3 linked regions of the Mus musculus genome follow. The protein of the gene in region 1 interacts with the protein of each later gene in a biochemical or structural test. Links are inferred from orthologs where the notes say so. Each region holds a gene or a part of one and is shown in the gene's direction. Other genes may lie near its edges.

Evidence for each region. The genes of interacting proteins can lie anywhere in the genome.
Region 2: the proteins of Bcl10 (region 1) and Ikbkb form a complex in vitro, tested with the Homo sapiens proteins (2 studies listed by BioGRID, with this or other methods). The link is inferred for Mus musculus from reciprocal best matches to the Homo sapiens genes BCL10 and IKBKB.
Region 3: the proteins of Bcl10 (region 1) and Card9 form a complex in vitro, tested with the Homo sapiens proteins (2 studies listed by BioGRID). The link is inferred for Mus musculus from reciprocal best matches to the Homo sapiens genes BCL10 and CARD9.

Annotation. Positions count from the first base shown.
Region 1 is NC_000069.6:145,922,829-145,927,061, forward strand, and holds the start of Bcl10 (B-cell lymphoma/leukemia 10), read left to right. Parts: upstream 1-1,433; 5' UTR 1,434-1,630; coding exon 1,631-1,687; intron 1,688-4,233. UniProt on the Homo sapiens protein: Plays a key role in both adaptive and innate immune signaling by bridging CARD domain-containing proteins to immune activation.
Region 2 is NC_000074.6:22,672,084-22,675,583, reverse strand, and holds part of Ikbkb (inhibitor of nuclear factor kappa-B kinase subunit beta), read left to right. Parts: intron 1-513; coding exon 514-621; intron 622-2,091; coding exon 2,092-2,221; intron 2,222-3,066; coding exon 3,067-3,261; intron 3,262-3,500.
Region 3 is NC_000068.7:26,354,799-26,357,909, reverse strand, and holds part of Card9 (caspase recruitment domain-containing protein 9), read left to right. Parts: coding exon 1-199; intron 200-265; coding exon 266-445; intron 446-581; coding exon 582-725; intron 726-1,026; coding exon 1,027-1,152; intron 1,153-2,385; coding exon 2,386-2,577; intron 2,578-2,986; coding exon of another isoform or gene 2,987-3,013; exon of another isoform or gene 3,014-3,038; coding exon 3,039-3,080; intron 3,081-3,111. UniProt on the Homo sapiens protein: Adapter protein that plays a key role in innate immune response against fungi by forming signaling complexes downstream of C-type lectin receptors.

The DNA of each region.
Region 1 (4,233 bases):
TGAGACAGGATATTCTTATCTGCAGGGTTCAAACAAAAAAAAACCTACATATCCAAAATGTGGGGAAAAAATGCAAAAAGGAAAAAACCCTCCTAATGTTTTAAGTAAGTTTATGATTTATTCCTGCTTATAGCTGGGTCAGATGCAAGCAGTTGGTTGGCCAACACAGCTAGCTAGCTTGTGCCACCACACCCTAGCTGGAGGACAGAGGTGTTTGATTTGCTAGAAGAAGATCTGGGTGTAGTTCAGTAGTTGCCATTCAACAGATGGTTGCTACAGGAAAGAGCAAATGATTAAGCAAATTGGGTTATAACAAGACAACGGATGACTAAGGACACAGGAAAACACTCTAGTATACTAGACATCAGCGTAAAAAAAGACCTGGCATAATGTAAACACCAAGATTCCAGAACTCTGATCAAAGCTACAGAGATGTGGCTTTAAGCCTCTACTGGTTCTTTTGTTTTAGATAAAGATTCCTGTTGCCTTTGGTCCTCTTGACATTTCAGTCTACACTTGCAGATTTACTTCATCGACCACATAATCATTTTCTGCCTAGGACTCTATGTGGAGCACCTCATCCACTAGGACACGTTTTGCACGGGCTACGAGTTAAAATATCGTTCTGAAAATAGCCATTTGGCCTCCAATAAACAACTTCCCCATCAGAGCATCCCTAGAATTTACTTACTGAACAGAGATAAAGGATAACAATAAGAGAGTGTAACTGTGTACCAAGTAGCTTCAGAACCTTAAATATACTCCTAGAGGCCCTAGCTTTTTAAATTTGTCTCTACTGCATAGATTAATAAGGAGAAATGCTTCTAATGAATAGAGACTTAAAAGTACCCAAACACTACCTGTGCTGCTAAATTGATGGGATTGCAGGTAATTTTTAAATCTTTTAACAGTTTTTTTTTTTTCTTTGTGTTTTGTCGTTTTGTTTTCTGCTCTCAAGATCTCCTTGCTCCTGTCTCCCTAGTTCTAGGTGGTAAATGGCAGTGGCCCCCCAGAGCAGGCCCTCAAACGGAAGTTATGTGTGCGTGTATACATATACGTATGATCACGCAACTGTAAAACCTGGCTCAGCACAACAGGAAATTGTTCCGCAACATCTGGAAAAGAGAAGCAAACCAAAATGCTCTGGCCGACTCAGCCCACACTCCACCCAAACGAGGAGTCTGCGAAGGCGGGGAGATCCCGCTAAACTGAGCGGCCAGTGCTCCGCCCACGGAAACAAATCCTTCAGGCGTCCAATCCGCAAGCCTATGTAAATGACAAGGGGGCGTGGTTAGAGGGACGCCCGCTGTGGGCGGAGCCACTGCGGAAGCAGAGACGTAACCGAGGGTAGTACTGATTGGCTGGCACGTAGGTGGGTGGGGCCTGCAGGCAGACCCGCCTCGCCGAAGGGTGGTGCCTGAGTTAGGAAGAACGCTGAGCGCGGCACCGCTGGCCCCAGGGGCGGAGCCGGAAGTGGGGCGTTGAGGTCTCCACCTCCTCGTCCGTGAGCCGGCCGTTCCCCCGCTTCTGTTCCTAGTCCCCCCGAAGTCACAGCCTGATTCCCGGAGGCCCGAGCCCTTAGTCTGGGCGGGGTGGCGCGGGCCGGAAGGACGCCATCCCGGCCTGGGCCATGGAGGCTCCCGCACCGTCCCTCACGGAGGAGGATTTGACTGAAGTGAAGAAGGACGTGAGTAGCTCCGCCGGGCTGGGCGCAGCGGGGCGCAGCGGGGCGGGCGGGCGGAGGAAAGCGGAAACCCGGAGCTGAGCGACGGGGAACTTCAGGTCGGAAGAGCGCGGGGTCCTGGCACAGCACGACCTGCCTGCTTCCCGGGAGCTGGCTGGAGACGATCCACCAGCGACCCGGGAGTCCGCGGTTAAGCCTGTCGGTGGGCTTGGATGTTTCCTTGCCATCCGCTCGTCGCTGGTGGCTTTCCATCCTGCCGATCCCCCATCCCACGCCACCGCCGCGGGAGCTGCTAGCCTAGGGAGCCGCCGGAGTGTGCCCACAGCGGGCTTTGGACCAGGCATCCCCGGGCGTAGAGCAGATGGGTGAAACTGGTCTCTATCGGGGGCTGCGGAAAGCTCGCCAGCTGAACGCACGCCCTGGAATTCCCCGAGTAATCAGACGCCCACGTATTTAAATGAAGGGGGTGTGCGTACTTCTCGCTGAGACTTGGTTCCCAGGTAAACGTTGAAAATACTCCCGACTAAATTGGACTCTTCTGCTTAGACCATGTAGAACTTCACAGACACAGTAATATTTGAGGAAATGGCTTTAACCACAACGTGCTTCGTTTTTTTTTTCCTTCCTTTTAACTTCTTTTGCCAGAAAAAAAAAAAAAATCAAATGAGCACAACTTAGATAATATACATGAATTCACATTAAAAACCGGTAACTCGTTCTTACTTAGCACCAAAATGCTGCCGAAAAATCGTCTTTACGAACTTAACCTCAAGTTGTTGAAGATGTATGTGTGCTTCAGACCCCTTTTTCTACCATACTTACCCCTTGTAAAGTTTATTGCGCTGTGCCCATAATTACAACTGATAGAGCTAAGTACCAGGAGGGAAAGGTACGGCCAGGATAACTGCCATAGTTTCCGTGTTCAGTGGAGTTGGTAGGGCACCTGCTGTATGGAAAGCTACACATTCTACTTGAAACAAGGTCTTTGATACCCACTATAGTCCTTAAGAGGACAGTAAACCCTAAGTGTAAAGTCTGGGAGCTCTGTTCCCATGTTCCACAGTTTTGAATTTTCTCACAATCATTAAAGTACCTATAAGGAGAGAATTGCTTTTCATTTTATAGCTGGCAAAACAAGACAAGACCTGTCTGTAGATAGGGGAGGAGAGTGCTGCAGGCCTTTGTTTCTGCTCCGGGGTTCATTGACGTCATCCATCCTGACAGTTGCACGTTAGACCTGTGTCAGATGTCCATAACCTTAGAGAGACTACAGAGAAGCGTCAGGGTGTCTATAAAAATAGTGTTCCTTAGATATTCACCCTATTATTTTTGAAACTGCTTATGACAAGCTTAAACATTCATCCGCATTATTTGAATCTCCTTTTTTTCTCAACTCCAGGACTTTATTTCCAAGTCTACCAGAACTCAAACTATAATTTCATACATTTGGCTGTTGTTTTGTTTCTCTGTAATTCTGACTGTCCTGGCACTCACCTGTAGAACTAGCTGGCCTCAACTCCCTTCCTCTGCCTCCCAAGTGTTGGGATTAAGGCATGAGCCACCACTGCCTGCTATGTTCTTATGTTTTCAAAACTTGAACTTTTCATTATCCTTCCCCCAAAACTGCTTGGTGTCCCTTCTGTATTATCTGTCTTGATAAATGGTGGGAAGTTGTTTACATGAGGCTGTCTGTCTGTCTCAGGGTTTGCTTTCTGTGGCTTCTGTTGCCTGTGGGTCAGCTATGGTCCAAAAATATTTAATTATTTAATGGGAATTTGATACGGTTATAGTGATACAAATTGAGCACTCTTCTAAGTACCGTGACAAAATCTTGTGCCATCTCACTGCATCTAGCCAGGGACACGAGTCTCACCTTTTCCCCAGTGTGTGTGTTACCTGCCTGATATCCTCTTAGTAGTGAGCTGTCTTGGATATTAGATTAGTTTTTATGGTGGAAAGCTTGATATGGGGTTGGTACCATGAGGTTTTGCACATCCATAGAGAGTCTTGGTCCATGTCCTCCCATGTTAGTGGGGAGCACAGGCCTACTGCTGGTCCCCAGGGCTGTACATCTTCAGCGCTGCTCCTGTTTTCATCTGTTTATTTAACACACCCTCATCTTGTTAGAACTTGTTTCCTTTTAACAAATAGAGGTAACTTTATACTCTGAAGTTGATAATGTAATACTAACAGTTAAATTAAGGACTAAGGAACTAGAGAGATAGCTCAGCAGTTAAGAGCGCTGACTGTTCTAACAGAGGTCCTGAGTTCGATTCCCAGCAACCACACGGTGGCTCACAACCATCTGAAATAGGATCCAATGCCCTCTTCTGATGTGTCTGAAGAGAGAGCAACAGTGTACTCACATACATAATATAAATAATCTTTAAAAAAAAGAACTAAGACAAAATTCTGTTTTTTACAATAGCTCAATTTCTTGATTGAAGAAAAGTAACCATGAACTGATAACTTTAAACATTATAATAAAGTTTCCATCCATCCAAAGCACTGCACTCTGAAATGCAGAGCACACAGCGGTGGACAGAATG
Region 2 (3,500 bases), on another chromosome or scaffold:
GACCTCGGTTTGGTTCCTAGCACCTGCATCAGGCAGGCAGCCCACAGGAGACATATATCCTTCTACACACACCTAAGTGCAATTGAAAATGACTGTTTTCAAATGGAAGTTGGTCCCTGACAACTGAGGTGCAGAGGAAATTAGAGACATGGCCAAGAGCACTTGGTCGCCCATGCAGCACTACTCAGACTTAGGTTGTCTCTATTCAGTCCTCCACACAGAGGTCAACGGTGCCTCCTGGAGACTTAGGACGAGAGGCCTCCTGCTGGACTCAGTGCACTGAGCTAAGCCCCTAAACACAGTGCCGACCACTCACAAACACTCCTGCTGAACTCAATGCTTAGAGCTAAGCCCCTAACCACAGTGCCGACCACTCACAAACACTCAGAGAAGCATCCTAGCAGCATGCTGCCCACCGTTTTCCAAAAGAATAGTCGTGAAGTGACATTACACGTGTAAACCGGGTACTTGCCACTGAGTGACATAAAGGACATCTTAAAATGACACCTACAGGCACTCCAAAGTCCGGCAGAAGAGCGAAGTGGACATCGTTGTTAGTGAAGACTTGAATGGAGCAGTGAAGTTTTCAAGTTCGCTACCCTTCCCCAATAATCTTAACAGGTAAGGCCGTGGGGCATCAGTCTTATAGATCTTCTTCGCCTCTGTTTAGAGCTACAGGTTTGAGATAACAGCTGACTCTTTTTTACTTTAATTTTATACGTTTGAGTGACTGGTGCCTGTGGAAGCCAGAGGAATAGTCAGATCTCTGGAACTGGAGTTAGAGATGACTGTGAACTGCCGTGTGGGTGTTGGGAACCAACCCTAGCTCTTAAGCACTGAGCCATCTCCAGGCCCATGCATAACTTTTGAATAGATATCAGAACACCATCCTGTGATTGAGAATTTGGACCAGTCTATCTCAACATTAGACATAGGATGGGTTTCCATATCTCATCTTCCTAGGAGTCTTTTTAAAAATTGTTTATTTGTTTGTTTGATTGGTTGGTTGGTTGCTAGCTTGCTTGCTTGCTTGCTTGGGTAGGTAGTTGGTCAGGTGGATGAGTGGGCGGGTGGGTGGTTAGGTGGGTGGTTGATTGGGTAGTTGGTTGATTGGTTGGTTTTTTTCTATGGTGGAGATGAAGTCCCTGGCTTTGGTTTTGATTGGTGGCTTTTTTGTTTTGTTTTTTTGTTTTGTTTTCTTTGGTTTGGATTTGATTTTTTGAGACAAAGTTTCTCTGTGTAGCCCTGAATGGCCTGGAATTCACTCTGTAGACCAGGATACCCTGGAACTTGGGGAGGCACTGGGGAGGCAGAGGCAGGTGGATCTCTGTGAGTTCGAGGCCAGCCTAGTCTACAGAGTGAATTCCAGGACAGCCAGCAGCTGGGATCCCTTTGTGCCCAAGAAATGTTTATAATACCCCAGATATGTAGATACATAAAGTATATAAGTCAAGCATCTACTGATAATAAATCATATATTTTAAAAGAATCATTTGGTTTAATCATACTGTTTAAAGGCAAATATTAAATTTTATTAAAGACAAATATTAAGTTAAAATATTCATATATTAAACTTACATACTAATGAGATTAATGAAATGTATGTGATTCGTTTACACAAAGAAATCTTGGCCTAATTTTTTCATATTTTCTTCATATGTGTGTTTACACATATGTACACACAGAGACATGGTGCTGATCAGGAAACCACGGAACCAGGCAAGCACCCCACCCAGCTCTCACAAGCCTTATCAAAGTGTCAGGGTCACTTTCAGTGTGTGCAGGTGTATGTGTGCTATGGAAGACAACCTTGGCTCTCTTCCGTCGCTCCACACCTTCTCCTTTTCAAGGCAGAGTCTCTCTCTCAGGTCTGGAATTCAGCAAGTAGGCTGAGCTGGCTGACCCCTCAAGGATCCACTCATCTGATAGAAGCATTTCTTATGTGGACTCTGGGATGGAACTTAGGTTCTCATGTGTGCACAGCAAGCACCTCACTCGAGCTGAGCTATCAGCCAAGGAAGGCTGTGTGTGCTTCGGGATTTGCACACTGCGGCAGGCCGGCTCAGGCCTCTCTTCCCTTTGCTCCCTTAGTGTCTTGGCTGAACGGCTGGAGAAGTGGCTGCAGCTGATGCTTATGTGGCACCCTCGGCAAAGGGGCACGGATCCCCAGTATGGCCCCAACGGCTGCTTCAGAGCCCTGGATGACATCTTGAACTTGAAGGTTAGAGCAGAGCCCAAGCAGCCCCGAGGCAGCAGCTGTGGTCCCCAGTGGAGCACAGCAGTCTTTCCAAGGAAGGGAGACATATCAGATCGTGGGCCACTTGGCCTTGTGAAGAAATTCAGGTTCCTCTGACTCTTTGGGCTAAAAAGAGGACAGGAAAATTGAGATGACTGACATGTTTTGACATCTTGCCGTTGAGGAAAAATGGGACTTAAACTAGCCCTTTACCAGCAAGTATGGGTTGGGGGTAGCAAAGGGTCTTGGCAAATCCATGAGCCTTTTGTAAAGAATTTTGATTTTTGGGATAGTGAGATAGCTCATCAGGTAAAAATACTTGTGGCCAAGCCTGACAATCTACCTAATGGAAAAGAGAACCAACTCTTTCCAACTGTCGTCTGATCTCCACACACGTGGTGTGGTGTGCGCACGTGCTCCCCCCTCCTAATATGCAAGTGTCTTAGTCAGGGTTTACTGCTGTGAACAGACACCATGACCAAGGCAACTCTTACAAGAACATTTAATTGGGGCTGGCTTACAGGTTCAGAGCTTCAGTTCATTATCATCAAGGCAGGAACATGGTAGTGTCCAGACAGGCATGGTGCAGGAGAAGCTGAGAGTTCTACATCTTCATCCAAAGGCAAACAGGAGAAGATTGGCTTCCTGGCTGCTAGGATGAGGGTGTTAAAGCCCACACCCACAGAGACACACCTACTCCATCAAGGCCACACCTCCAAATAGTGTCACTCTCTGGGCCAAGCATATTCAAACCACTACAGCATACAAACACACAATGTAAATAAATGTTAAGAAAATTTCTTCCCAGTAACATCTGGGTTGTGTTGCAGCTGGTTCATGTCTTGAACATGGTCACAGGCACCGTTCACACATACCCCGTGACGGAGGATGAGAGTCTGCAGAGCTTAAAAACCAGAATCCAGGAAGACACGGGGATCCTGGAGACAGACCAGGAGCTGCTGCAAGAGGCAGGGCTGGTGCTGCTCCCTGACAAGCCTGCTACTCAGTGCATCTCAGACAGCAAGGTGAGTCCTGACTTCTTCCTGCGCCCTGCTTGCCCTGTTTCCCTCAGATGTGGTCTCCTAGAACACTGTCAGCATTCCACATTACTACTCTCACTATGACAATTGTATACAGTGACACCGTGTACAAACTGCTTGATGGGTCAGGAGTCCCAGGTGGGTCGCTAAAAGACACCAATCATTCCATACTCAGTTTGTCACTTCCAGACCACGAATATTTTCTTGTGCTTCCATTGCCAAAA
Region 3 (3,111 bases), on another chromosome or scaffold:
CATCAAGGAGCTGAGGGTAAAGGACAGCCTACTGCGCAAGCACCAGGAGCGGGTGCAGCGGCTCAAGGAGGAGTGTGAGCTGAGCAGTGCGGAGCTGAAGCGCTGCAAGGACGAGAACTATGAGCTGGCCATGTGCCTGGCACATCTGAGTGAAGAGAAGGGCGCAGCACTCATGCGGAACCGTGACCTGCAGCTTGAGGTAATCACTTTCTCCACCTGCAGGGGGTGGCCTGGAGGAGGCTGCAGCTGACTGGGCCACCCACAGGTGGACCGGCTCAGGCACAGCCTCATGAAGGCCGAGGATGACTGCAAGGTGGAGCGCAAACACACACTGAAGCTCAGGCACGCCATGGAGCAGCGGCCTAGTCAGGAGCTGCTGTGGGAACTACAGCAGGAAAAGGACTTGCTGCAGGCCCGGGTGCAGGAGCTGCAGGTCTCTGTGCAGGTAGGGAGACCCACCAGTGCACATCAGGCCTCATGCCTGCAGGGGCTTGAAGCTGGGCACACCAGATGGTACAACTGCAGTGGCCGTGCCATTGTGGGCCTCCTCAGCCAGGCTTGTTGCCTTCTGACACCTCCAGGAGGGTAAGCTAGACAGGAATAGTCCATACATTCAAGTGCTGGAGGAGGACTGGCGTCAAGCACTGCAGGAACACCAGAAGCAGGTCAGCACCATCTTCTCCCTACGGAAGGACCTCCGCCAGGCTGAGACCCTCCGGGCCCGGGTGAGAGACCAGGGCAGACAAGCAATGCCCACTGGGATCCTGGATGGTGGGGTCTGGGACCTGGCTCACTGTCAATTCGTACAGTACACAGTAGTGCCGTGTCACCCTTTGGGCTTACAGTGTGACCAATGGTGGCTGAGGCCATGGTCTTAGACTAGGTTAGTCTTGGATTAGATTGGACTGGAACTCCAGTGCCTTCCTCATTATCCCAGACCTTGTGTGCCCTGGAGCTGTTGCTCTGAGTCCAGCCCAGGGGGAGGAGGAGGGAGGGGAGGGTGAGGCTGAGTGGTGCTTCCTGTAGTGCACGGAAGAAAAGGAGATGTTCGAGCTGCAGTGCCTGGCCTTGCGCAAGGATGCCAAGATGTACAAGGACCGTATCGAGGCTATCCTGCTGCAGATGGAGGAGGTCTCCATTGAGAGGGACCAGGTAGGTGCCACACTTGTGTTCAGAAACGGAGAACCAGGAGTGTTGGGGTATTGGTGCGGCAGACACTGGAGCAGTAGTCAAAGTGTTTTGTTTTGTTTTGTTTTTTTTATTTATGCTCAGGGTAACTTGGCAGTGTTGGAAGACAGAACCCGGGACTGCTTGTACAAATGCATCAAAGTCTACCTTATTCAAAGGAGGAGCTTATGCGGGAGGAGAACACAGCAGTCCCTGTGGTGGGGGTGGGGGTGGGGTAAGGAGGTGGGAGACTTCAGTAGGGAGAGGAAGCTGCTAGGTGCATAGGCTGTGGGTAGGGAGCATTTGGTACAAGAACCTGTGGTGGCTCCCGGGCAGAGGCAGTAGTAGCAACTCACACCTGCAATCCCAGCAGTTGGAGGTTGAGACAAAATAATTACTGTGAATTTAAGGGCAGCCTGATTTACCATGAATTCCAAGCCAGTTTGGGGTCCAATGTGAGACCCTGTCTCAAAAAGCCACCACTAACAATAACAAAAGCGGTAGCAGCTGAGCCATGTTTGGTAGTACATGGCAGTCCCAGCATGCTGGTCCCCGGATTTAGAGGTAAAGACAGGAGAGTCAGAGATTCAAGGCCAACCTCAGCTAACAGTAAATAGGAGGCCACCTTGGGATAATGAAACTGTCTTCCAAGAAACAAAAGAAAAAAACCTTTGTGTTCATTTAAGAACAGCCATGAATCCTGGTTTGTTTGTTTTTTTTTTTGTTTGTTTGTTTTTGTTTTGTTTTTTAATGTCAAGCTGCATCCAGAATTTATAAAATATGTCACATAGGTGGGACAGAAACACCCACTGGCTATCTGCTGGGGATGTAGGACTTCTCAGTTGGGCTTCCTATGAACTACTGAGCATTAATCACGGGTTTTTTTGGCTGCTTCTCTGAAGTGTTTTGTTTTGTTGTCTGAGACAGTGTCTCATGTAATCCAATCTTGCCTTCAACTCAATATATGTGCAAAGATGGCCTTAAACTATTGATCCCACTTCTGCCTCCCCAGTGCTAAGAATCTGGTCATTTCCAACTCCGCCCAGGGTTTGTTCATGTACACTGAGAGCCCTGACTGCTTTGAGAATCCCTCCAGTTCAGCAGTTCCAGCCATACACCAGGGTGGTTGATGTCCAGCCAGGACCTGAACTGCCAAATGAGAGCCAAGAGCATCAACCAGGTCCTTTGCTGAGGGTGTGCCCTCTGCTATTCCTACAGGCTATGGCCTCCAGGGAAGAGCTGCATGCACAGTGTACCCAAAGCTTTCAGGACAAAGATAAGCTTCGAAAGCTGGTTCGAGAGCTGGGTGAGAAGGCAGATGAGCTGCAGCTACAGCTGTTCCAGACGGAGAGCCGATTACTGGCCGCCGAGGGCAGACTCAAGCAGCAGCAATTGGACATGCTCATCCTGGTAGGCCTCTGTGTCTGCTGTCGCCAGGGTGGGCTGGGCAGTGAGAGAGCTGGGGAGGATGTGAAGTCAAGGCAGGATTCCAAGAGGAACCATCAGCCTGGAAGCAGCCCTATCACTAACCTGCCATGACTGCTGCCCTGCTTGTGGCCTCGGAAAATGCCTGGCCTTCCTAAATCCCAGTTTTCCTCATTAGAGCTCTTCATGGCGAAGTGACAGCCACAGATGTAACTCAAGGTTATCCACACCACTCCAATGACTGCAGCCTTGACCAAGGAGTAACCTTCAGGTGGCTTGGAGTGTAGTGTTAAGAAAGACATATTCTGGGCATATCTAGAAACATGTGCAGGGCCTCCCTAGAGGATGGAGCCTGGATGGGGCTCTTACCATGCCCTACACACCCCATACCCAGGTGCTTGGAACCCCTACAGCCCACTGACCAACTCCCTTTTCTGTGGCCACAGAGCTCTGACTTGGAAGACAGTTCACCCAGGAACTCCCAGGAGGTGAGTGTGGACATAGAGTGGTCCTTCCCTG